Arabidopsis thaliana: one gene and its partners. The protein of the gene in region 2 interacts with the protein of the main gene of each other region in a pairwise test. Each region holds a gene or a part of one and is shown on either strand. Other genes may lie near its edges. The genes, in order: CRF9, NF-YA8 and MYB11.

What was found.
Region 1: the proteins of NF-YA8 (region 2) and CRF9 interact in a two-hybrid assay, tested with the Arabidopsis thaliana proteins (one large-scale study listed by BioGRID).
Region 3: the proteins of NF-YA8 (region 2) and MYB11 interact in a two-hybrid assay, tested with the Arabidopsis thaliana proteins (one large-scale study listed by BioGRID).

The regions. Positions count from the first base shown.
Region 1 is NC_003070.9:18,170,731-18,176,941, reverse strand, and holds CRF9 (Integrase-type DNA-binding superfamily protein), read right to left. Parts: upstream 3,516-6,211; coding exon 2,526-3,515; downstream 1-2,525. Other genes in the region: BBX17 (B-box type zinc finger protein with CCT domain-containing protein), read left to right, coding at 1,006-1,039, 1,144-1,910, 2,022-2,201; AT1G49110 (uncharacterized protein), read right to left, coding at 4,696-5,229.
Region 2 is NC_003070.9:6,048,056-6,056,115, forward strand, and holds NF-YA8 (nuclear factor Y, subunit A8), read right to left. Parts: upstream 4,574-8,060; 5' UTR 4,349-4,573; exon of another isoform or gene 3,998-4,348; 5' UTR 3,930-3,997; coding exon 3,647-3,929; intron 3,497-3,646; coding exon 3,396-3,496; intron 3,315-3,395; coding exon 3,240-3,314; intron 3,033-3,239; coding exon 2,877-3,032; intron 2,798-2,876; coding exon 2,426-2,797; 3' UTR 2,109-2,425; downstream 1-2,108. Other genes in the region: MYA1 (myosin 1), read left to right, coding at 1-75, 179-249, 332-431, 510-623, 702-782, 948-1,030, 1,131-1,254; AT1G17600 (Disease resistance protein (TIR-NBS-LRR class) family), read right to left, coding at 4,971-5,159, 5,234-6,325, 6,450-6,752, 6,853-7,954, 8,054-8,060. UniProt on the Arabidopsis thaliana protein: Stimulates the transcription of various genes by recognizing and binding to a CCAAT motif in promoters.
Region 3 is NC_003074.8:23,151,707-23,159,062, forward strand, and holds MYB11 (myb domain protein 11), read left to right. Parts: upstream 1-2,923; 5' UTR 2,924-3,051; coding exon 3,052-3,184; intron 3,185-3,600; coding exon 3,601-3,730; coding exon of another isoform or gene 3,731-3,734; intron 3,735-3,896; coding exon 3,897-4,665; 3' UTR 4,666-4,879; downstream 4,880-7,356. Other genes in the region: ATERDJ3B (DNAJ heat shock family protein), read right to left, coding at 118-204, 291-407, 663-774, 1,115-1,250, 1,346-1,494, 1,570-1,640; AT3G62615 (uncharacterized protein), read right to left, coding at 3,654-3,734, 4,116-4,148. UniProt on the Arabidopsis thaliana protein: Modulates overall growth by reducing the proliferation activity of meristematic cells and delaying development. Flavonol-specific transcription activator involved in the regulation of several genes of flavonoid biosynthesis.

The DNA of each region.
Region 1 (6,211 bases), about 12 Mb from region 2:
TACTTGATTTATGCTTTTCTGTTTCGTAAAACATATATTACTAATTGGACTTGGGAGTTCCAATTGGTTAAGCTCAGCTTCGTTTTTCAAATGATTTATATATATTTTTGGCTTGTTGTACATTGCGTCCCTGTTTGTCGAAATAATGAAATTCCCAAGTACCTTTTTGCATGCTTGCAACTTAGTATATGTTTTTAAGACTTTATCTGATAAAACTAAGAAAGAGTTAACTCTAAAAACATCATACTTTCCCTTTATTTCAAAACTGTAGGAACATCTTTACTTCTTTAGTGTTGTCTAAATGGATTCATTTCTGAAATAGTTCATGAAATTTTTATTAACCTTTAAGTAGTAGTTCAAACATCTACGGAGTCTATTACCATATGTTAAATGGTGACAAAGACAGGTAAGGACCACAGACAAAATGAGTCAGAAAACAAAAGACTAACAAACAAAAAGATAAAACTTAGAGATGGGTAAGGAAAAGAAGCCATAAAAGACCCAAAAACATAATCCAAGTCTAACCAATAAGATCGCAAAGATATGGATCAACTTCGGTACATGATGCCAAATCATCACTACAGTGTCTTTTTTCCTTGTACAACCCAACCAAAAATGGGTATGGCCAAACTTCAATAATACACCAAGTGTTTACTCATCTCAAATTTTACTACCTTTTCTTAAGACTAATCTACTCTATATAAGTATGTTCACTAACCCTTAATGTTAAGATTCAAGAATATTAAACATGTATAGAACAAGACTCAAGGAAACTTGAGCTAAAAAGTCATTTCTAGTCCCTACTGACATAAGAAAGAAGTGTCAGTGAAAAAATCTTCTAGATTCTAAAGGAAAATGTCTTTGTCTGATCCCAACGAAAAAGATTATTATATACCTACCTAAGCAGGCTCCTTTGTCAGTGCCCATTATTCTCCATCCCTCTTAGCCCTTGTCTTCTTCATTGTCCCCTTTTTCTCACTTTAAGATCTTTCTTGTTCTTAGCCCATGACAAGTCACCAAAATATCAAAATTTCAGAAAGTATATAACCATTACTCTACTGTTTCCTGATAAACCTCCTTTTGTGCCAGTTTCTTCTTCTACTTTGATTTCTTCTCATATCTCTGTTTTCATGTTTTGCGCAGAAATTATGATTTCAAAGTACCAAGAAGATGTCAAGCAGCCACGAGCTTGCGAACTTTGTCTGAACAAACACGCAGTTTGGTACTGTGCCTCCGATGATGCTTTCTTGTGCCATGTTTGTGATGAATCAGTGCATTCTGCAAACCATGTAGCGACAAAACACGAGAGAGTTTGTCTTAGAACAAACGAGATATCGAATGATGTGCGTGGGGGAACAACATTAACCTCGGTTTGGCACAGCGGGTTTCGAAGAAAAGCAAGAACTCCTAGATCTCGGTATGAGAAAAAGCCACAACAAAAGATAGATGATGAGAGAAGAAGGGAAGATCCTCGTGTTCCCGAGATTGGAGGCGAAGTGATGTTTTTCATACCAGAAGCAAATGATGATGATATGACTTCTCTTGTGCCAGAGTTTGAGGGATTCACAGAGATGGGATTCTTCTTGAGCAACCACAATGGTACTGAAGAAACAACGAAACAATTCAACTTTGAAGAAGAAGCTGACACAATGGAGGATCTATATTACAATGGAGAAGAAGAAGATAAAACTGATGGAGCTGAAGCATGTCCTGGACAATATTTGATGAGCTGCAAGAAAGATTACGACAATGTCATAACGGTTTCAGAAAAGACAGAAGAAATTGAAGATTGTTATGAGAATAATGCAAGGCATAGACTGAATTACGAAAATGTTATAGCAGCTTGGGATAAACAAGAATCTCCTAGAGATGTAAAAAACAACACAAGTAGCTTCCAGCTAGTTCCTCCAGTAAGCGCCTAATCTTCCGAGTTCTTACAAAAATGATATTATATTGTTTCAAATTGAGAAAATTGAACCCAATCTATCAAAGAAACTTATTGTAATGGTTGTTGATTGCAGGGGATAGAGGAGAAGAGAGTAAGAAGTGAGAGAGAAGCTAGAGTTTGGAGATACAGAGATAAAAGGAAGAATCGTTTGTTCGAGAAGAAGATAAGGTACGAGGTTAGAAAGGTTAACGCCGACAAAAGGCCGAGAATGAAAGGTCGATTTGTCCGACGATCTTTAGCCATCGACTCTTAGGGAACAGATTCTCTCAGTTTCTTCTCCTTTGTGCCAAATAAAAAAAAGGCTACTCCAAAGAAACCAGAAGCTAATCAAAAGAACAAAAAAGCTCATGTGGAACATATTTCGTAGCTTTTGAATTTATCCCTACAATGACATGGTTACAACTTTATTCTTAAATCAATTTGAGAATTTAAATTTCATACTAGTAAAAGCTTCTCTTATGAGGTAAATCTCTTTATATAAGCAGTTAGTTACAAAAACCAAAACGAATTACAAACAACTTGTAACTCAAAGATTTGTAGTTTTGTACTAATACCGTTGGCCGTGTCAAGAAAGTATTCATAAAAACTTATCGATCCAATCAGTAGTACCATTAAACCAACTAAAATCATCATCCTCTGGATCTCCTAATAATCCAAGATCATCCATAGGAAAATCTTCTAACTTAAAATCATCTATCAACGGATCAAAATCAAGTAAATCATCGACGAATAAGTCCCCATTGGTCGATACGATTTTGGCATGTTGATTAACTTTAGTGTGATCCCCAATCTTAAATCCAAATGTTTTCTCCTTTCCTACTCTATCATTCTCCACAAAATCAAACTTGAAATCATCTACAATGGAAATAAATTCCACTGAATTGTAATCCACCCAAATATCATTTGCTTCAACAGCCGAATCACCAAAAATATCAGCAATTGACGATGTCATCAACGGATCTTCCAACATTTTACTAATCACTCCCTCTTCTTCATGATCAGCGTTATAACCACAACCAAATGGCTTCTGATCAGTAACAATTCTCTTATTTACCTTTTTGCAATTCGACTTCTCAGTAACTTCCTTCTCTTCTGGTTTACGTACACCGCACGGCTTGGTCAAATCTACTAGGTCTTTTTCCTGTTTAACTAAACCCAATCGTTCATCAAACTCTCTTTTACTCTTTTGGTAAGCTTCTGCTGCTTCTTCTTCAGTAGGAAACGTTCCAAGCCACTTTCTCTTCTTCTCAAACGGATTTCTTATCTCCGCCGCAAATTTCCCCCACGGCCTCCGTCGTACGCCTTTGAAACCCGACGACGTTTTCCGGTTTCCGGCTGCTTTATTCCCTGTAGAATTCGAAACGTTCTCATACCTTTTGATCAGCGTCGGGACACAGATCTTTGAGACGTAACGTTTCGGTGGTTTTGGTTTGATCTGACGGCGAGGATTATTGCCGGAGATAGATTCATCGTCGCTAGAGGAATCGGTGGCGTCTGGATCATTACAGATTACACTAATTGTTTTAATCAAGTTGAGATCGATGTTCTCTTCTCTGAAACTGATCATTGTTCTCTCTCCGACTAAACTCCGGTACTAAGTAACAGAATCTTACAATAAAAACCAAAAAAAAAACAATGTAGTGTTTTGAGTTGGTGATAGAGATAGAGATTAAAAACCTAAACATGGGAGAAAAACTTGAACAGAAAACATAGTTAAGATTCATCATCGTACCTTGTTATGGAGAGTGTGTCAAAAATAAAATTCAAGGAGCTTATGGCAAAGCTAAGGAAGACGAAACATAGAAGACGTTATTAATAGTTTATGAGAATTGTTTTGTTTTCCTTTTTAATTTTTGTTTAGATATAATCATAAAAGTAAAATCTGTAGTAAATATTAACGAGGATATCGGTAACTACCATATCTAAATTTACCATTTTTTTTTTTTTGTGATAGAAAAAGAAAGTTAATATTTTAGTAGGAAAAAATGGAAAATTGGGAATTCTCTGATGATATATTATAGTTCTTTTTTTCTTTGGTCCTAAAACTTCAATTGATATCACACTCTAATTTTTATTTTTTTGTATTTCTCGGAGAATAATTTGTAGACTACACATTAATGATTAAATAAAAAGTTTTTTATTTTCGATGGAGAAATCAACCATCTAAGTACGGAGAACACGTAAAATTGGGACTATCCAGAATCTCATAGGTTAATCTCAACCCTCAACTTATGATTTTGAGAAAATAACACACTTTTTTTTTTTTAACGGCAAATCGATTTTATTATATAGTTAAAGTTTACATGATACATAAGAAACATTCAAAAGCAACCTGAGAAAATAATACACTTATTCTATCAAAACTAGTAGTGATTTTTTTTTTTGTTATATTAACGAGTTTAATTTTCAAATCATTAGATTATTTTTTAAGTCACTACATCATAGTATATATATTTATCATCTTATATGTATAAAATGAAATTTCAAAACTTGATAAACATGATCCGATTAAGTTGAGACCTTCCAGTTTGAGTGTGTCGATAAACATAAAATTTTTGTTTTAAACAGTAGATTAAACTTTTAAAAAGACCGTACAACAAAAAGAAAAAACAAAACGCAAAAACGTTACAAAAAGAAAGACTAAAGAAACAAAACAAAATAAAAAGCATAATGAGTAGTATTAATGAGTTATACATTTTCCCATTAACATTTTCACATTTCCCCATTAACGAGTTAATGAGTCAAATCTACTTCTTACGAGTAAGACGTCTCTTCTTCTTAGATGATGTTTCTCCACCATGACCAAGAACAGATCCAATATCTTTCCTCTTATTATCAACAAGACAATTTCCATCCATAGACGAAACCGGAACTTCAAACCTTTCCATTTCCTTGAGAACAGCCCGAAGATTATCGGCTTCGCGTAAAGCAAAACTCACCGTCTTGCGTTCAATCAGTCCTTCAACATACTTGTACAAACCGCATTTCACTCCCTCTTTCCTACAAAAATCAAGAACTGCCTCTTCGTGCAAAACATTGATGGCTACACCGAATGCAGAAACTGGCCAGTACTTGTCTCGGAGACGAACACCAGTATCACTTTCTTTCTTCATGACCGCACGAGCTATCTTTAGTTCAGAGCTATACTCAGCAAATTGAGCGTTAAACGCTCTTATCATAGCCGATTCAGCAGCCGTCCTACCTTTTGATGTCGCTCGCCTCTTTAGCTTCTCGCTGCGTTGCACTTCCACAACGGCTTCAATACCGGCTTTTGTTTTCATCCATTAAACTTCGTAGATTTGACGGAGATTCATCTCGTGGCTTAGAGGACAAATCCCTAGTGAGTTTGCCTTGGCTAACACGCTATCGCGTATATGGGAAGATACTAAATTATATAATGACACTGAATTGAGGCGAGTGTGTGAAAAAAGTAGACTATTCAGTTGCTGCCTTAATAAGTACGCTGCTTCATTTTCCCAAGAGGGATAAGAAGCACGCTGTTTCATTTTCCCATAAAGAAAACGAAAGAACCGAGTAGTTTAGACTTAAGTTATTTATGGATTAAATATAATTCTGTAGTATATTTTAAAAATAAAATGTTACTAAATTGTATTAAAAAAAATATAGCTTTTTGTATATATATAAGCTGTTTTTATAATTTAGCATAGCATTTGAAATAAAAACAGATTTTTGAGTGTAGCTGACTTCTGAAAGAGATTCATTAGCCACACGATGCAAACCTGGCTTGTAGGGCTTTGTCATAGTGTCGTTAATATGTTACATAATATATTAGAGATTAATTAATAGTATGTTGTTTTTGTTTTAAAACTTCCTAGACGAAAACCAAATCATGAAATAAAATATTGTATATTGCAAGTAAAAGATACATTTAATTGTTATCATATAGGAATTTTAAACTGCATGTGTGAAAATTCCTCTGTTTTTATAGAACTAAATCAAATGTTAGCATTAATTCAATTATTTTTTTAAACGTTGTTCAAGGATTGCATATTTTCTAATACGTCTGACCAGTGTGGTTAGAGTCTAAATGGAGTATTCTTGCCGTGTAACCAAACACCGCATCCATAGATCTTGATCTCCATTTGGGAGATTGCCTCTCTAGTTGGAACAAGTGAACTATCATCATCTTTTTTCTAACTTCTCTTTTTTAAAATTTTTTTTTGAAAATTGGGTGGTTTTCAACCTTCTTTTTCATAAAAAAAATCAGAATCATTAGAGTTGGATACACGTCTCAAAATAACA
Region 2 (8,060 bases):
AAACCGATGATTGCTCATTGGCAAAACATTGTTACTTGTCTAAACGGCCACTTGAGGACTATGAGGGCCAATTATGTGAGTGAAATAAACTATAAATTCCGCCAAAGCTGAAATAAAGTTTATTTTCAACTTCTTTTTTCTTTCTTCTTACAAATTTTGAACCTATCCAAAACTGCAGGTGCCTTCCTTGCTAATTTCTAAAGTGTTCGGGCAGATATTTTCATTTATCAATGTTCAGCTGTTTAACAGGTAATTCTGATATGGTTGCAACTGTCAAGTCGCTATATAATACAGATCCGCTTATGTTTTTCCCGTTTAATCAACCGTGTAGCCTTCTTTTAAGACGTGAATGCTGCTCGTTTAGCAATGGAGAGTATGTAAAAACAGGGCTTGCTGAGCTGGAAAAGTGGTGCCATGATGCAACGGAGGAGGTAATAGATGTTTCAAATCCTCTCTGGAGTTTTCGGACAGTTAGCTTATTAGAAGATGCTTTTTTTGTTGTGTTCTAGTTTGTTGGTTCGGCTTGGGATGAACTAAAGCACATTAGACAAGCTGTTGGCTTCTTGGTTATACATCAGAAGCCTAAGAAGAGCTTAAAAGAGATAACTACTGAACTTTGTCCGGTTAGTTCAACGTTTTGAATTTGTCTCTTCATTTGTTCGTCTCATGTAAATCTAACGAAATTTTGTATTTCTCTGCAGGTGCTTAGCATTCAGCAACTGTATAGGATCAGTACAATGTATTGGGACGACAAATACGGTACACATAGCGTATCTACAGAGGCAAGTGAATATTTCTACTCTTGCTTTCACATTCGTGTGATTGATGGACCCACTCGACCAAACCGTTAACATTAGTCTTATCCTGAGCTATGTTTTAAGAAAATCCAACATTACCTAGAATTGAAATAAAAATGTTCCTCGCTTGACACAAGAATGGTGATGCAGGTGATAGCAACCATGCGGGCAGAGGTGTCAGATGTATCAAAGAGCGCGATCAGCAATTCATTTTTACTAGACGACGATTCGAGGTAAACCCTTGAAAGAAACATTAACAAAACAAATCACTTTTTAGAAGATTGATATTTTGATAAAAAAAATTATGTGTCTTGGTTTGATTGCTTTTTGCAGCATCCCATTCTCGCTTGACGATATCTCCAAATCGATGCAAAACGTAGAGGTTGCAGAGGTTGATCCTCCTCCGTTGATCCGCCAAAACTCCAACTTCATGTTCTTGTTGGAAAGGTCAGATTGAAGTAGTCAAAGTTCCCTATACCCGATCGATCGCTAGGACATTTTCAGATTAGGAGATCAGTATTGTGCTTTCAAAAACAAAGCCTGTACATTAGTACATATGCCTATCTTTGCCAGTGGCTTTCTGGTACTGTTCTACTATTAATAGGGGTATATTGGGTAGGAAAAAATATATATATGTGAACTAAATATTTGTTGTGTCCATGCGTTGATAGGCCATTTGCTTAATGAATTTTACTTTGTTTATCATTTTTCAAATTATTAGTTTTTTTTTTTGTCACTATTGTTCTTTATTGACTGATCCAAACAAGTTTACAAGGCCAAAGTTGAAGCCCAAAATTGAAGCCCAAAGTATTACATCAAGGAAAAGATCAAAAGAAGGATAACTCTTGCGTTAGTTAATGTGTCAACAACATCGACACGTGGTGAAAACGTGTTGCAAAAGAAACATTGCAATTTCCCGTCATCCTTTACAGTCTAGTCTTTAGTTATGTTTGTATGTTTTTGGAAACATATCTGTGTTAAGAGATATTCCCTTTGTGTATAAATACACTGCTAGTGATTGTAACTCGGGGGTACTCAGACAGAAAAGCGTTTAGGGAACATTTGTTCAAGGTGTTACTGCCGCCATTGCTGGTAGTGTCTCCGCTTTGATTACAGTGACATAATTAAAGACTAGACTGCAGGTTCTAAATGTGGAAGATAGTAATAGTAGTAGTAGTAACGATAGGAACTGCAGTCTGACTATCTACAGACGGTTAGAAACTTGGTCGGGGAAGGTGGTTGGACGGCTTGTTACAGAGGATTGGGACCAAGCTGCGCTTCTAGTCAATGTGTTCTATGACTATGATATATGATATAAACAACACCGGAATGGAGTGTATGAATCTGGTTTAGCTTTACTAACTATGAATAAGCAAAGAGCAGAGACTTATCGGTTATCAGATTTACATTTACATTCATCACTCCAATCCAATCACTGACTTAACACACGATGATCCATGGTACAAACGACAGACGAAAAGTAAAGAGTTGAAGCTTGAAGGTTTTTGGTCATTCAAATGATATCTGGACAAAGCGTGTGAAATAAGAACTAGCTAATAAGCGAAGTAGCAGCCAAGGATGACTTCCCTTTTTTTGTAGGAACGTACACATTACCAGATTCCACCGGCTCAGATATGGACAGAGAAATGGTGTGTGTTCCTACCTCCATGCATGTCATTTGATTGACCATGAACATACATTGTTGGGTTTGTCTGAGATGGGCAATCTGATATCAGAAATTCAGAGTGTCCAAAGAGATTAACGCTGTCAGAAGCAGATGTGATGTCAGAGCGAGAAGTGGTTGAACAATCACAGTCATTGCTGTTCTGCAACTGATAAAGCACAAATCTTGACATGTTTCCCGTTGCGTGTTGCTGTTGGATTGGCATGTCTTGTTTTGGATCTGTAGATTCTTGAAGCTTTTTGGTGTTTAGGAATCTTCCACCAGATCCTCTAGGTCGTTTAAGAGCGTGAACATGTCGAGATTCATGAAGATACGGCTGTATGATATTTGATAATGAGTTATGTTTAGTCATTAAACCAAAGTAAGATACCGAAACGCTGACCAAAATACTATACCTTACGGGCTTTGATTAGTTTGTTTTGCGCCTCTAGCTTAGCACGCTGTTGCCTCCTCCTCATAATTGCATGGAATTGCTTTGCATTGACAAAGACAGGCTCATTCTCTATGAGATCGAATGGTAGCGGAACTCGAGTCATTTGGGGATTCCATATCTGCAGAAAGTTTTTAAGCAAACTGAAATCTCAAATGGAGAAATAAATTGCAAGACTAATTCACCATTTAAGGATGGCATTTCTTTCTATAGCTGTATATGTAACTACTTCAGAGCATAATGTTACATAACAAGTCCACCTTAAGTAAAAATGAGGTTTAGCATAAATATTCTCCTCACCATATGTAATCAAGGAGGATATACTTACTGTTGCCTGTGGTAGGTAAGCCGCAGGCATTAAACCACCAAAATGTGGATCGGCATAGTGAAATGAGAAGTTAGCCTGAAACCAGAGTATAACACAAGATGTCAGTAAACAATCACAAGTACTGCTTATCGTCACTCGTAGTAGATATACGGGTACCTTGGAAGGAGAAGAGTGAATATCAGCGATTCCTGCCGTGGAGGAGCCTGATTTAATTGCAAATCGCTTCCTTTGAGTTTCTTCAAATCCTTTACAAACATCTGAAAGAAAGAGAGCGAAAGATAACATTTTCAGGACAAAGGGATGGATTCTTTCGTAAATGGGACCAAAGATCAAGCTAAAACACCATGCGTCTTCAACATAATAGATCATAGTGAGTTGTCTAGAACCCAAAGTTGTTTAAAACGGACCTGAATGTGCTAAAAATGAGATTTGTCTTGAGGGGTTATCATCTCCACTACTTGTAACATCGTTAGAAGATTGAGCAGAGGACAGAGTTGAAGATGAATCCTGGTCCTGGAAACTGATATTCTTTGTGTTTATAAGACGTTCTGGTCTTGCATCTACCACCTTCAAACTCAGTGATTCAGTCACACCATTGGATTTGGTTGGAAGTCCCCATGAGATGGAAGTACTAAGGTATGGTGGAGTTGAATGTGCCACAGAGCTAGTAAATGAAACTTTCTTATCCATGTGACTCAGAGGCAACAATTAGCTCTCTCTCTCTCTGCTTCAACAGAGAAGATTGATGATACATGTGTCTGTCAAAGAAGCTCCAAATTCAGAACATCTTTATAAATGATAAAACTTTCAAAAGATATTTATTCCTGGAAACAGCAAAACCTTTGACGATGTAGTAGACAAAGAAGGGGATAATCCAAAAAGGGAAAAAAACCCAGAAACAGAGCAACATTCAGAACTATTTCGGGCAAACTATTAGAAGAGCGCGGCAGAAAAAAAAGTAAAGTTCCGACCAACTAAAATCAGCACCATTACTTTCGTCCTAAAAGGCGTTGACTTGGGAAGAAATTTCCAGAAGATTTCCGAATCAGCACATCACTCTAAAAAAAAGCGAAGAAATGACGGATTCAAAGAGAAGGAGATAGAGAGACCTTACGGATTCAAGGAAGAGATGAAGAACAGGAACTCAAGGGATGCCTATCAAAACAAAGTAAATCTCTTTTCTCTTTTGCTTATTCTCTCAGATAGATACTCAACAGTGTGTATGTGTGTGTGTGTATTCTTTTGATGCTTCATTTCCGTCACTCACAATTTTCTCTCTTATAAAGTCATTACCTTTCCAACAAAATCACCAGCTCCATTATTAGCAGTACCGCCACCTTCATTAGTATTTTTAATGCTTAATTAATATATTAGTTTTCTAATCTTATTGACTTATTATTTTGTTCACTTAACAAAGTAAACACTTATCTAGTTATCTGCCTATCCACTTTACAAAGTAAAACTATCGTCAAAAGCCTAATCTAGTGAGCAACTATATGGCAGCTGAAGCATCTAAAGCAAAGCTAATCTGCCTACTCTTTGTGTTTATGGACAAAATCTTGAAGCGTTCTTTGGATATAGTGGAACTCAGTTCCAAAATGCGAGTGGAAAAGAGAGAGAGAAGCAGAAGCAAGGGAGACTTGAAATGTAGTAAGTTTGTTACTACCTGGTAAATTACAGAAGAAAGCACACAGTTTAAGTCTTGAGGAAGCTGTTGCTGAGTCTTGAGTTTCACTTGAAAACACGCAGGAGTAAAATCACAAGAGCAGCCACTAGCGTGATGCAGATAGGGATGCCTACATACATAACCGCATGTGTGATCTTGGGAAGGCGGATGGTTTGGCGATTTCTTGTGGCTTGAGTTTTCAGTACATAACTCGACATCTCAGTTTCTTGGAAGTAGTCATTTCGTGTATGTGCCTATAAAAGAAGGGAGATGATAAAGGGTAACTACATCAATCATAGTAGAGACGGATCAAGAGCCAAGTATTCACCTCCTTGTTTGGTATGTCCTCAAAATGTTCTGCAGAACCAGCTTCGAGAGAATCACAGCCGTGTGCATCGAGAAATTGGAGAGACAAGGGAAGTTTTTCCACCGATTTGAGTTTCTTGCAGTTATTGAGGCAAAGTGTTACCAATGAGGTAAGATCTCTGATGCTTGATGGCAATGTCTCAAAATCATGGTTGCTGAGATCTAAACATGTCAACTTGGTGAAATGACTAAGCTGATCTGACAATGATTCAACACTCTTGCAATTTTCAAGGCAAAGCTCAAGCAAACAGTATCTTCCCTCATCTTGACTTGTGTTAGATAGTTTCGCCAATGATCTAAGGTTCCTACAGTTGGTAAGTGTAAGTGTCTGCACCTGAGTTAGCTTTGGCAACTCCTGGAGCTTAAAGCAGTTTTGAAGCCAGAGAGTTTTTAACCGGGAAAGGCTACTCATAGCTTCTGGTAAGTTCTCAAAATCATTTCCGCTGAGGTCCAGCTTCTCTAGTAAATCCAGGTGACAAATCCCAGATGGGATTTTCCTGATGTTTAAGTTCACTAGTTTTAGCTCTTTCAGGTCGGGAAAATCTGGAAAGACGTCAAAGGAGAAAGATTCACCGTTTTCTTTGTGGCTGAACCTCATGATGCGGAGGGAATTGAATCTGTTGCACTCTGAGATGACCCAAGGTGCTTGTTGCAGACTCATCGCCGATATAATGGGTATCTGTTGCTCAGAATTAAAAGAGACGTATTCAGCATATCCTCTAAATTTTGAACGAAACTCAAAAGTAATGTCTCCCCCAATCGATATGTTTATAAGTGCATCCATTTTCACTTTTGCGTCTGGGAACTCCAATCCAATATGTTGCTGCCTTGTAGATTTTCGTAGAAAAAACCGCAGGGCACTTCTACGCCCTCCACGGTAGGATAGCTTAAGCTTCTTTAAGGTAGACCTTTTTCCAATACACTCTGGAATGCCCTCCAGTCTCGTGCATTGTTCCAGAAGCAATTCCTCAAGACTCGTGATACTTGAAAGATCTGGAAGTTGCTTGAGATGCTTAGATCCCGTCACATCTAGTCTCTTCAAACTCTTCAACATCTGAGCAAGATACAACAACACATGGAAATAGTTGGAATTATGTTTCTCGCAAGGATTCTCTGTTTTCACACCATTGCTCTATCAAAAACACAAACACAAGATGCAGAATCATAGAAAAGATTACCGGTGTTCCACTCCAGAGAGTTTCTAAATCACTGTGACGCAGATTGAGTTCAACAAGAAAACATGGATCAGAACCGGAAGGCAGGGCTCTCAATGGAAATGCATCCCAATGGAATAGCCGTAGGCTACGAGGCAGGAACGGTTGGTCTGGAATGAGTTGCAGATTCGACTCTCTGTAATCTACATGCTTGTAAACCTTGAGAAACTTGAGATTATGCATACGGCCAACAACACTGGCCTCCATGGATAACACACAGGTCATATCACACGTGTGTAGGCACATGCATTCAGTTTGTTCTCCTCCCTGATGATAAGAAGACAAAAGAAACACAAAGCCAGAAACTCGTCAGGTCAGGATGCATGAAAATTTAAAAGAATAGATCAAAGATGATATAGATGCTTACGTCTCTGAAAGCCAGGGCAACGCGAATTTCCATAGGATCCCTGAGGAACTTTCGAGCCAAAGACATGTCGTCGCGGATAATTTCTCTTCCCATTTGTTCGACCAACTTGTGCATGATAACAGATCCATTAGTTGATATTTTGATGAGAGATTTCTCTGCTAAAACTCTTATCCACAGGCTGCTCTGAGGTATGGGGCCATGAAGAAGGGAAGTGATTCGCTGGAGAGTGTCTCCATTGAAGAGACAGACAACATGAAGGAATACATTCTGATGTGGTTTTGGTAAGCCCTCGTAGCTAATTTTCAAGATTTCCATTATATTCTCGTCAAGACTGCTTTCAAGTGCACCCAGTGCTTCTTCCCACTCCTCAGGACTCGCTGTCCTTCCACGGAGAAATAATGCATAGGCTTGAATGGCAGAAGGAAGCCCGTGAGCAAGCTTAGAAGCTCGGATTGAGAGTTGGTCAAAACCCTCACAAGGAGGAAGTCCTCCTTCAAAAGCAATCTGTTTAAACATCTGGAGGGCATCCTTATCATCCAAGCACTTAACCTCATAAACGACTTCTACTCCACAGGTATTGAGCAAGCCCATATCTCGAGTGGTTATGATAATTCGGCTCCCAGGACCAAACCAGTTTTTCTCTTTTGCCAAAGCATGCACCTGCGCCACTTTATCCACACCATCAAGCACAAGAAAAACCTTTTGATTCCCAAGTCTCTTTTTTATCTCTTGGCATCCAGCTTCCACGCTCCATAACCTAATATCATCACAGAGGATACTGGAGAGCAATTCTTTTTGCAAATGCTTTAGATCATGGCCATTGTCTTTACTAACACTCTTAATGTTTTCTATGAAACAATGAGCTGGAAATTTAGGTGAGAGCTGGTCATAGAGACACTTAACAATGGAGGTTTTCCCAATTCCTCCCATTCCCCAGATTCCTACCAGGAGAACCTCATTGGATTCCTGATCCAAGAGATGATTAAGACCTTCCATGTGAGCTTTCATCCCAACAATATTTCCAGAGTCTATTTTATGCATCAATGTCACACGTCTTGAAATATCTCTAGCAATTTCTCCAACCATTATAGCCTCATCAACACTAATAATATTGAAATTGAGCAGGAAAATTATAATTCAACTTTCCAGTGTGCTGCTAAACAAAGTGATAAATGTGTGTAAACAAGAAAACGAGGCTTACCAGTGGC
Region 3 (7,356 bases), on a different chromosome or scaffold from region 2:
AAACTAAGATCGGAAAAATCGATAAGCTCATAAATAAATCAAAATGAATTAAAGAGCTACTATGAAACGTAGTTTCGATTGATTTTACAATGAGGGTAGTAGAAGTTCGATACTTACTTCTCCATCTTTCATTCCTTTCTCGATATCAACTGTCACAAAGTATCCCTCCCGTTCGTATTTGACATTAGGGCATTTGTCACAGACCTGAGGGGAAGAAGAGGATACGTCGTTAAACAGTAATTAGGTTGGAACAAGACCATCTGTGACAATTGAACATATCCGTCCTTTACCTGCTCTGTCATCTGTTGGAACATTCCAGGACCAATTTGTCTGTGATAGACCTCGTTCCTGCAGTTACACTTTCTCTTTCCAGGAGCTGGTTTTATCACATTCTTTTCCCTCCATACCTGATAGTTCAATGTGGAACATTCTCACTGAGAACTTAATGCAATTTCTTTTATTTGCATTAATGTAAAAAAAAAAACTGTCTACTCTAACCAAAACATCGCCTGAACTGAACCTAAAGAATGTCTGAATGACACTATGAAATCTAGTTTACAAATTTCTATTGATTCTAGTACATTTGGATCAAAGTAACATTTCCCAGATGAGTAACATGTATTAGTGATGACAATAACATCCTGACACGGAGCTTAACATACCTTCATAGAGCCTCCCATGTACAAATCTTCTAGAGTTGCCTCAAGTTCCACAATTACGTCATCCCCCTTGACAACCTTCTCTTCTTCCTCCATCGAACCTCCACCAAAAAACCTATTAAACACATCAATAATCTCTGCAAATTAGCAATCTGCACCCTTTAAACACAAATGTAAAACATTATCCAAATTTAGGAACTATTCACGCTACAGAGTAAAGTCCCTTCTTTAAACACAAATGTAAAACGTTATCCAAATTTAGGAACTATTCACGCTACAGAGTAAAGTCCCTTAACATTACCAAATTCAATTGTATCCACTATCAATAAATAAAACTCACACGAATTCTATGTTAAGATGGGTTCAACAGGATAGAAGATCAGACAGATCCTAGTGACCCTGTATCTTGTACCTCTAGTTGGATCCTAAAGAGTTACCATTTGCAGAAAACTTACGAGCTGAAGATGTCCTGCATATTCATGCCGCCTCCTCCTCCTCCTCTTCCTCCATTTGCAGAAAACTGTTTAAGTCCCTCTTCACCATACTTGTTATATATCTCCCTCTTCTCCTCATCCGATAACACTTCATAAGCTATTACATCAAACACCAATACGTCAATTCTCAAAACTAAAAACGGGTGAGTTAACAAAGAGAGCAGAATCACACAAGTTGCAAAACGAAAATACCATTGTTGATCTCAGCGAATTTGCGAGTCGCTTCCTCATTTCCTTGATTCTTATCGGGATGATACTTCAAAGCTAGTTTCCTATAAGCTCTCTTGATCTGTTCATCAGATGCACCTTTCGGGACTTGCAACACATCGTAGTAACTCTTCCTAAATCCACAACACAGATTTTCTAAGCATTCACATTTTCCACACATTTCTGAAGGAATCGAAAGATGTTCTTACCCGGCAAGGACGCAGATGGCGTAGGAAAGAGCGAACAGTACGATACACAGCTCCGACCACCGAATCGCCATGGAAACGGAAATCGGATCTCTCCCAAGGATTACTCCAACCTGAGATTCGTTTCGATTTTAACAATGAAACCTCACAGAATGAACAAGAACGAAGATCTTCTTCGCTGATTTTTATGATTGGAAAACTCGAATCACTCTCTCTACTTGTTTTCGTGGAAACGATTCCAAAACTCGAGCCTCGTGGTCGGGTTACGTGTACACTGCAATGCTTAACCAATCAGGATTAAGTCTCTGACGATCGTAACCAATAAATATTAGCCACGTGGATAAACCAACGTCGAATCGCTGACTGTTCTTTTCGTCGACTTTAATGAGTACGACGTCGTTATACTCATATAATCTATACAAGGCGCATTAATAATGAAGCGGGCCTGTAACTCCCCTACGATTGTTATTCAATAAATGTGGCCTAACCCGATTAAAAACCCTAGGTTACTGGGCCCATACAAAATCGAGATTGTTTTATGTAAACCGATCTGGGGAGGCCAGATCCAAACTAGTTTTGCATATTTATGCATTATGGATTTTGTACCTACCATATTAAACTTGTTAATATAATGACAAAACCGCTGCTATGAGAAAATTTATTTCTTTAATCTTTATATAATCTAGACTATCTTAGTCACACATTACGTTGTGCATTGGTTAAACACTACTGGAGTATAAAACAAAAAAAGGTGGTTAAGTAATAAATACATATTTTGTTGCTTATTAATTACATGCAAAGAAACATAGACTGGTTTGGACAATCATGTCATATGTCAGGTCTCTTGATTCTTCGCATCTTCGACGAAACATTATTTACTAGACATACAATAATAACTAGACATCTCACACGAGTGGTCCCGATCCCCCACTAATACCATTTTACTGTCCATTGAAAAATAAAGAAACGTTGCTGACAATAGTAAACTAAATAAAATTGGTGTTTACATATTTTCCACGATACGAAGTAAAATATTGAGAAAGTATTACGCTTATGATTTTATTAATTGTTAGATGATTAACTGAATCCGAATTGAGCAGTATGATTAGAAACAAGTCAGAAATAATAAATGTATAACTAGTATTTAAAAAAAAAAAAAATGTATAACTAGTATTTAAAAACTATAGTTAGCATCTAATTAGAGACACTAGGACGACCCAGCTGGACAGCTGGTTAGTAGCTCTCGACCTATGATGAGCGCCTACGACTTTTGTTTCAACATAGACAAACGTGGCTCGTTCTATCACCTGAATATATAACCCACTCCTCTCTATTCTTGCATGTCACTCCTATAAATATTTAATACTAAACCAATCACTTTTTGTTGTGTCGTCACTTTACTTCTCTTTAAATAATCTCTTTCTCTAGTGATTGACTTTAGGAACAAGTGAAGTGAGTGATTTTTAATAATCGCCGGCCGAGAGAATGGGAAGGGCGCCGTGCTGTGAGAAGGTAGGAATTAAGAAGGGGCGCTGGACGGCGGAGGAAGACCGGACTCTCTCCGACTACATTCAGTCCAACGGCGAAGGATCATGGCGTTCTCTTCCCAAAAATGCCGGTAAAGTTTTTTTTATCTATACAGTACTCTGTCTCTCGACTATCGCATGCATCTCATAAGATAGTTTTTTTGTTTGGTCAAAATTTATAAGAGAATCTATATGCATCGAGAAGTTAATTAATCTTACGTACGGTTCAATTATACACCATGAGTTGTAAAAAAAATTAAAATAGAGACTTGATTTTTTTTTTTTCTATTTAATGTATCAGTTTCTATAAGGAATGCATAATATTTTAAAGTACATAAAGTGTTTATTGATAATTCAGACCAAATTGCCTTCTTGTTTTATTTACATGTATATATGGACTGTAACATCACAAATAAAACGATAATTTATTTCAATATTTAGGAAAAGATGAGTAATCGCTGCAGGCATTATTATGCCTTAATTAAAATCTGACGTACATTTTAAAAAGGGCTAAAGAGATGTGGAAAGAGCTGTAGATTGAGATGGATAAACTATTTGAGATCAGACATCAAGAGAGGAAACATAACTCCCGAAGAAGAGGACGTCATTGTTAAACTGCATTCCACTTTGGGAACCAGGTAACTTTTTCATTTGAACAAAAGTTTATTAATGTCGATATATTTCCAATAGAAAAAGTACACTATCACGTGAAATCATAAATCAAACTGTTGCTGTGTAACGTCGTGAAAAAAAACGTTTTTACAACAAAAAATAAGAATAGCGTCAACGCTAATTAAATTGCAGGTGGTCAACAATTGCGAGCAATCTACCGGGAAGAACAGACAACGAAATAAAAAACTATTGGAATTCTCATCTCAGCCGTAAACTCCACGGTTACTTCAGAAAACCAACTGTCGCCAATACCGTCGAGAATGCGCCTCCGCCTCCTAAGCGTAGACCTGGAAGAACCAGCAGATCCGCCATGAAACCCAAATTTATCCTAAACCCTAAAAACCACAAAACCCCTAATTCTTTTAAAGCAAACAAAAGTGACATCGTTTTGCCAACTACGACAATAGAGAATGGAGAGGGAGACAAAGAAGACGCATTAATGGTGTTGTCAAGTAGTAGCTTAAGTGGAGCAGAGGAACCCGGTTTAGGACCATGTGGTTATGGAGACGATGGCGATTGTAACCCAAGCATTAATGGCGACGATGGAGCTTTGTGTCTCAATGACGACATTTTCGATTCTTGTTTTCTATTGGACGACTCTCATGCTGTCCACGTGTCCTCATGTGAGTCGAACAACGTAAAAAACTCTGAGCCATATGGAGGGATGTCAGTTGGGCACAAAAATATCGAAACGATGGCTGATGATTTCGTTGACTGGGACTTTGTATGGAGAGAAGGTCAAACCCTTTGGGACGAAAAAGAGGATCTTGATTCGGTTTTGTCGAGGCTGTTAGATGGAGAGGAAATGGAATCTGAGATCAGACAAAGGGACTCCAACGACTTTGGAGAACCGTTGGATATTGACGAAGAAAACAAGATGGCTGCTTGGCTTTTGTCTTGAAAGATTTGACACCATGCATATGCCTTTTTCTCCGTTAGATTTTAGCAAAGACCCCACGTGGCAGGATCTGGTCGGTTTGTCAATAGAACATGTTTGTCCCCTAGCGTTCGTTTTTTAGTTTTAAATGTATTTATATTCTTTTTTATTTCTTTTCATGTGTAAATACGATTTTGGCGGTGGCAAATAAACAAAATAAAGTCGATCTTCTTAGTTCAATTACATATAAGCGATCCATTGATGATTACACCATTGATAGCCAACTTAAGTAATCTTTCGACTTTCGTATATATGTATACAAATATAATAAGAAATTTAAAATACAAAAAAAATATAAATAAAATTCAGTTCCATATTGTGAATCAGCAATTCTCACTATTGGTACATAGTCCAACACTTGCTAGTTGCATTCTAGGTGGAAGTATTTCAAAGAAACAAGTTTCTCTGATAGACTAATAATAGACCAAAACCCGAGCAAATTTCAAAGCATGTCGCCAACCACAACTCTTTTTTGTGTGTAAATGTTCACTGGTAAAGTGGTAATTAATGAACGTTTTGAATTTTGATTAAAAGCTATAAGACCATCTCCAACGAGAGGATGTAATCAAAAAATTGTTGGGCTCTCTTGTTTAATGACAATAAAAATAAATTAAAACTGATAAAAATCAAGAGAGTCGGCTTTCTGGAGAGAGTTTTGAGAATTTGAGAGAACCGTCGATGTGGCAACATGTGATTGGGTTTTCAATTTCAACAAAAAAATAAATGTGTGCGCGTTCTGTTCTATCTTCTTTCTCCTCTCTGCCCAAACGAAATTGACCAAAAGATGCAAAGCCCAATCATCGTTTCTTCTGAAAACTTTTCGCATTTGATATCTTTTCTTTGAAACTGAAATCAAGATACACAAACTGAAACCAATTTGTTCACCAAAAGAAAATAAAAATGCGTGGGTTTCGATTTCAAAGATATTCAGGAAAAGATCTCCGATAGCTTTCGTCTATGGCAACACTCTTTTCAATTCTGGGTTCGAGCTTCGTGGTTTTAAAAGCTTGTAATTTCGTGTGATCAAGCTCCTGCGACGCCGTTTGATGCGATTCAACTTTGAAAATTTGATGAAAAGCCTCTTGGTTATGCTTCTATTGCTCAGGTATTATAGATTATGGTGGAAACTTAACAATTAAGTAAACATGATTGAGTTAGAGTATTTAGGAGCTTGTAAAGCAGAAGGTCTTGGTGATGGACCCATAATGAAGCTGTATATTTATGTTGTAATTGAGGAAGATAATCTGGTCATAATGCTTTCTAGAATTAGCTACTCTTGCCGTAGAATTATTATCTCTTGACGTGGAATTGTAGCAACATTGTCAAACTCTGGTTATGTTTATACTAAGACAATATCATTTATTTGCTTTCTTAGGTTCACAGAGGAAGTATAAAGGGTAACAAGATGAATGTTGTTGTAAAGGTGAACATTATCGGAAGTTCTAGATGGGGCTGAAGCCTCTGCTCGAGCTATGACAGAGGTCGACCCCAAAGGAATTTTCAAGTCCACGGGTCTGTTTTCCTTTTACTGATCACTCTGTTTTTTTTCCTTTAACTTATCTATGGAGTAAATGTGAAGCCATACTAGTCTCATTTGAGCCCTCTAAAATGCAGGCTATGGTAACTATTTGTTTATGCTTGCTCCGTCAACCAATGAATCATTCAGACAAATGGTCATTTCCGATGCAGTCTCTGTTTTGATGCCGAGGTAACTGAGATTACTTATGGTAACTCTATGGTTCTTGATCATGGTTGGATTGACACTTTGAACAAGAAATGGGATTTGGTTCATTGCATTGAGGTTAGCTTAGGTTTGGCTTTTAATAAAGTTTCTATTTGAGTGGAATTGTAAAATAGAATTGATGTCTAGTACGTGTTTGATGAAATTCCTCTAAGAGTGAACCTTAAATCGTGTGTATTAAGCTTTGTTTCTTGATAAACAACTAATGATTTAGAGTTCTCTTCACGTTATTGTGATGGAAGTTTTATGTTCATACACTCAAATGTTCTTTTATGTTCGAACTCTTTGCTATATATTTGTTGTAACCAAATTTTAACCATAACACTTAAACACATAATCACAAATTTTCAAAACTTTATCTACAAGTTTAAGAAGCAAAACACTTTAACCATAAGTTTAAGAACCAAAATACATAACCACAAGTTTAAAGAACCAAAAAACACTTAAATTTTTGTTCTTTTTTCAAATCTATTTTAAAATGTTTGAAAAATGAAAACAATGTATATTTAATATTTTATGATTTGCAATAATTATTAAGTTTTAGTAAATAAAATAATTTTAAAAGAATAGTTTTTTTCAGAGAACCCCATTAGAGAGAATCTGTCATTGGAATATGAAAAACTAAAAAAAAAATAAGCAAAAGTTCTCTTGTAATTTTTGTTGAAATTTAATCAAAAAAAATTGAGAAAACCTCTCCATGAGCTCTCTCCATTGGAGATGCTCTAAAAGCTTAATAGGAGCCTTGCCAGTTGCCACAACTTATACGACTAATTCAGACTCTCTCGTTTCTTTTAAAAGGATGATATTGTTCCTAAGCGTAGAGTAGACGTTTTAGTAAATAGTAATTGAGGAAGAAACAAAAACACATAACGAGGGTCGCTATCTTTCGCTTAGAAGTACGATTTGGTCCATTG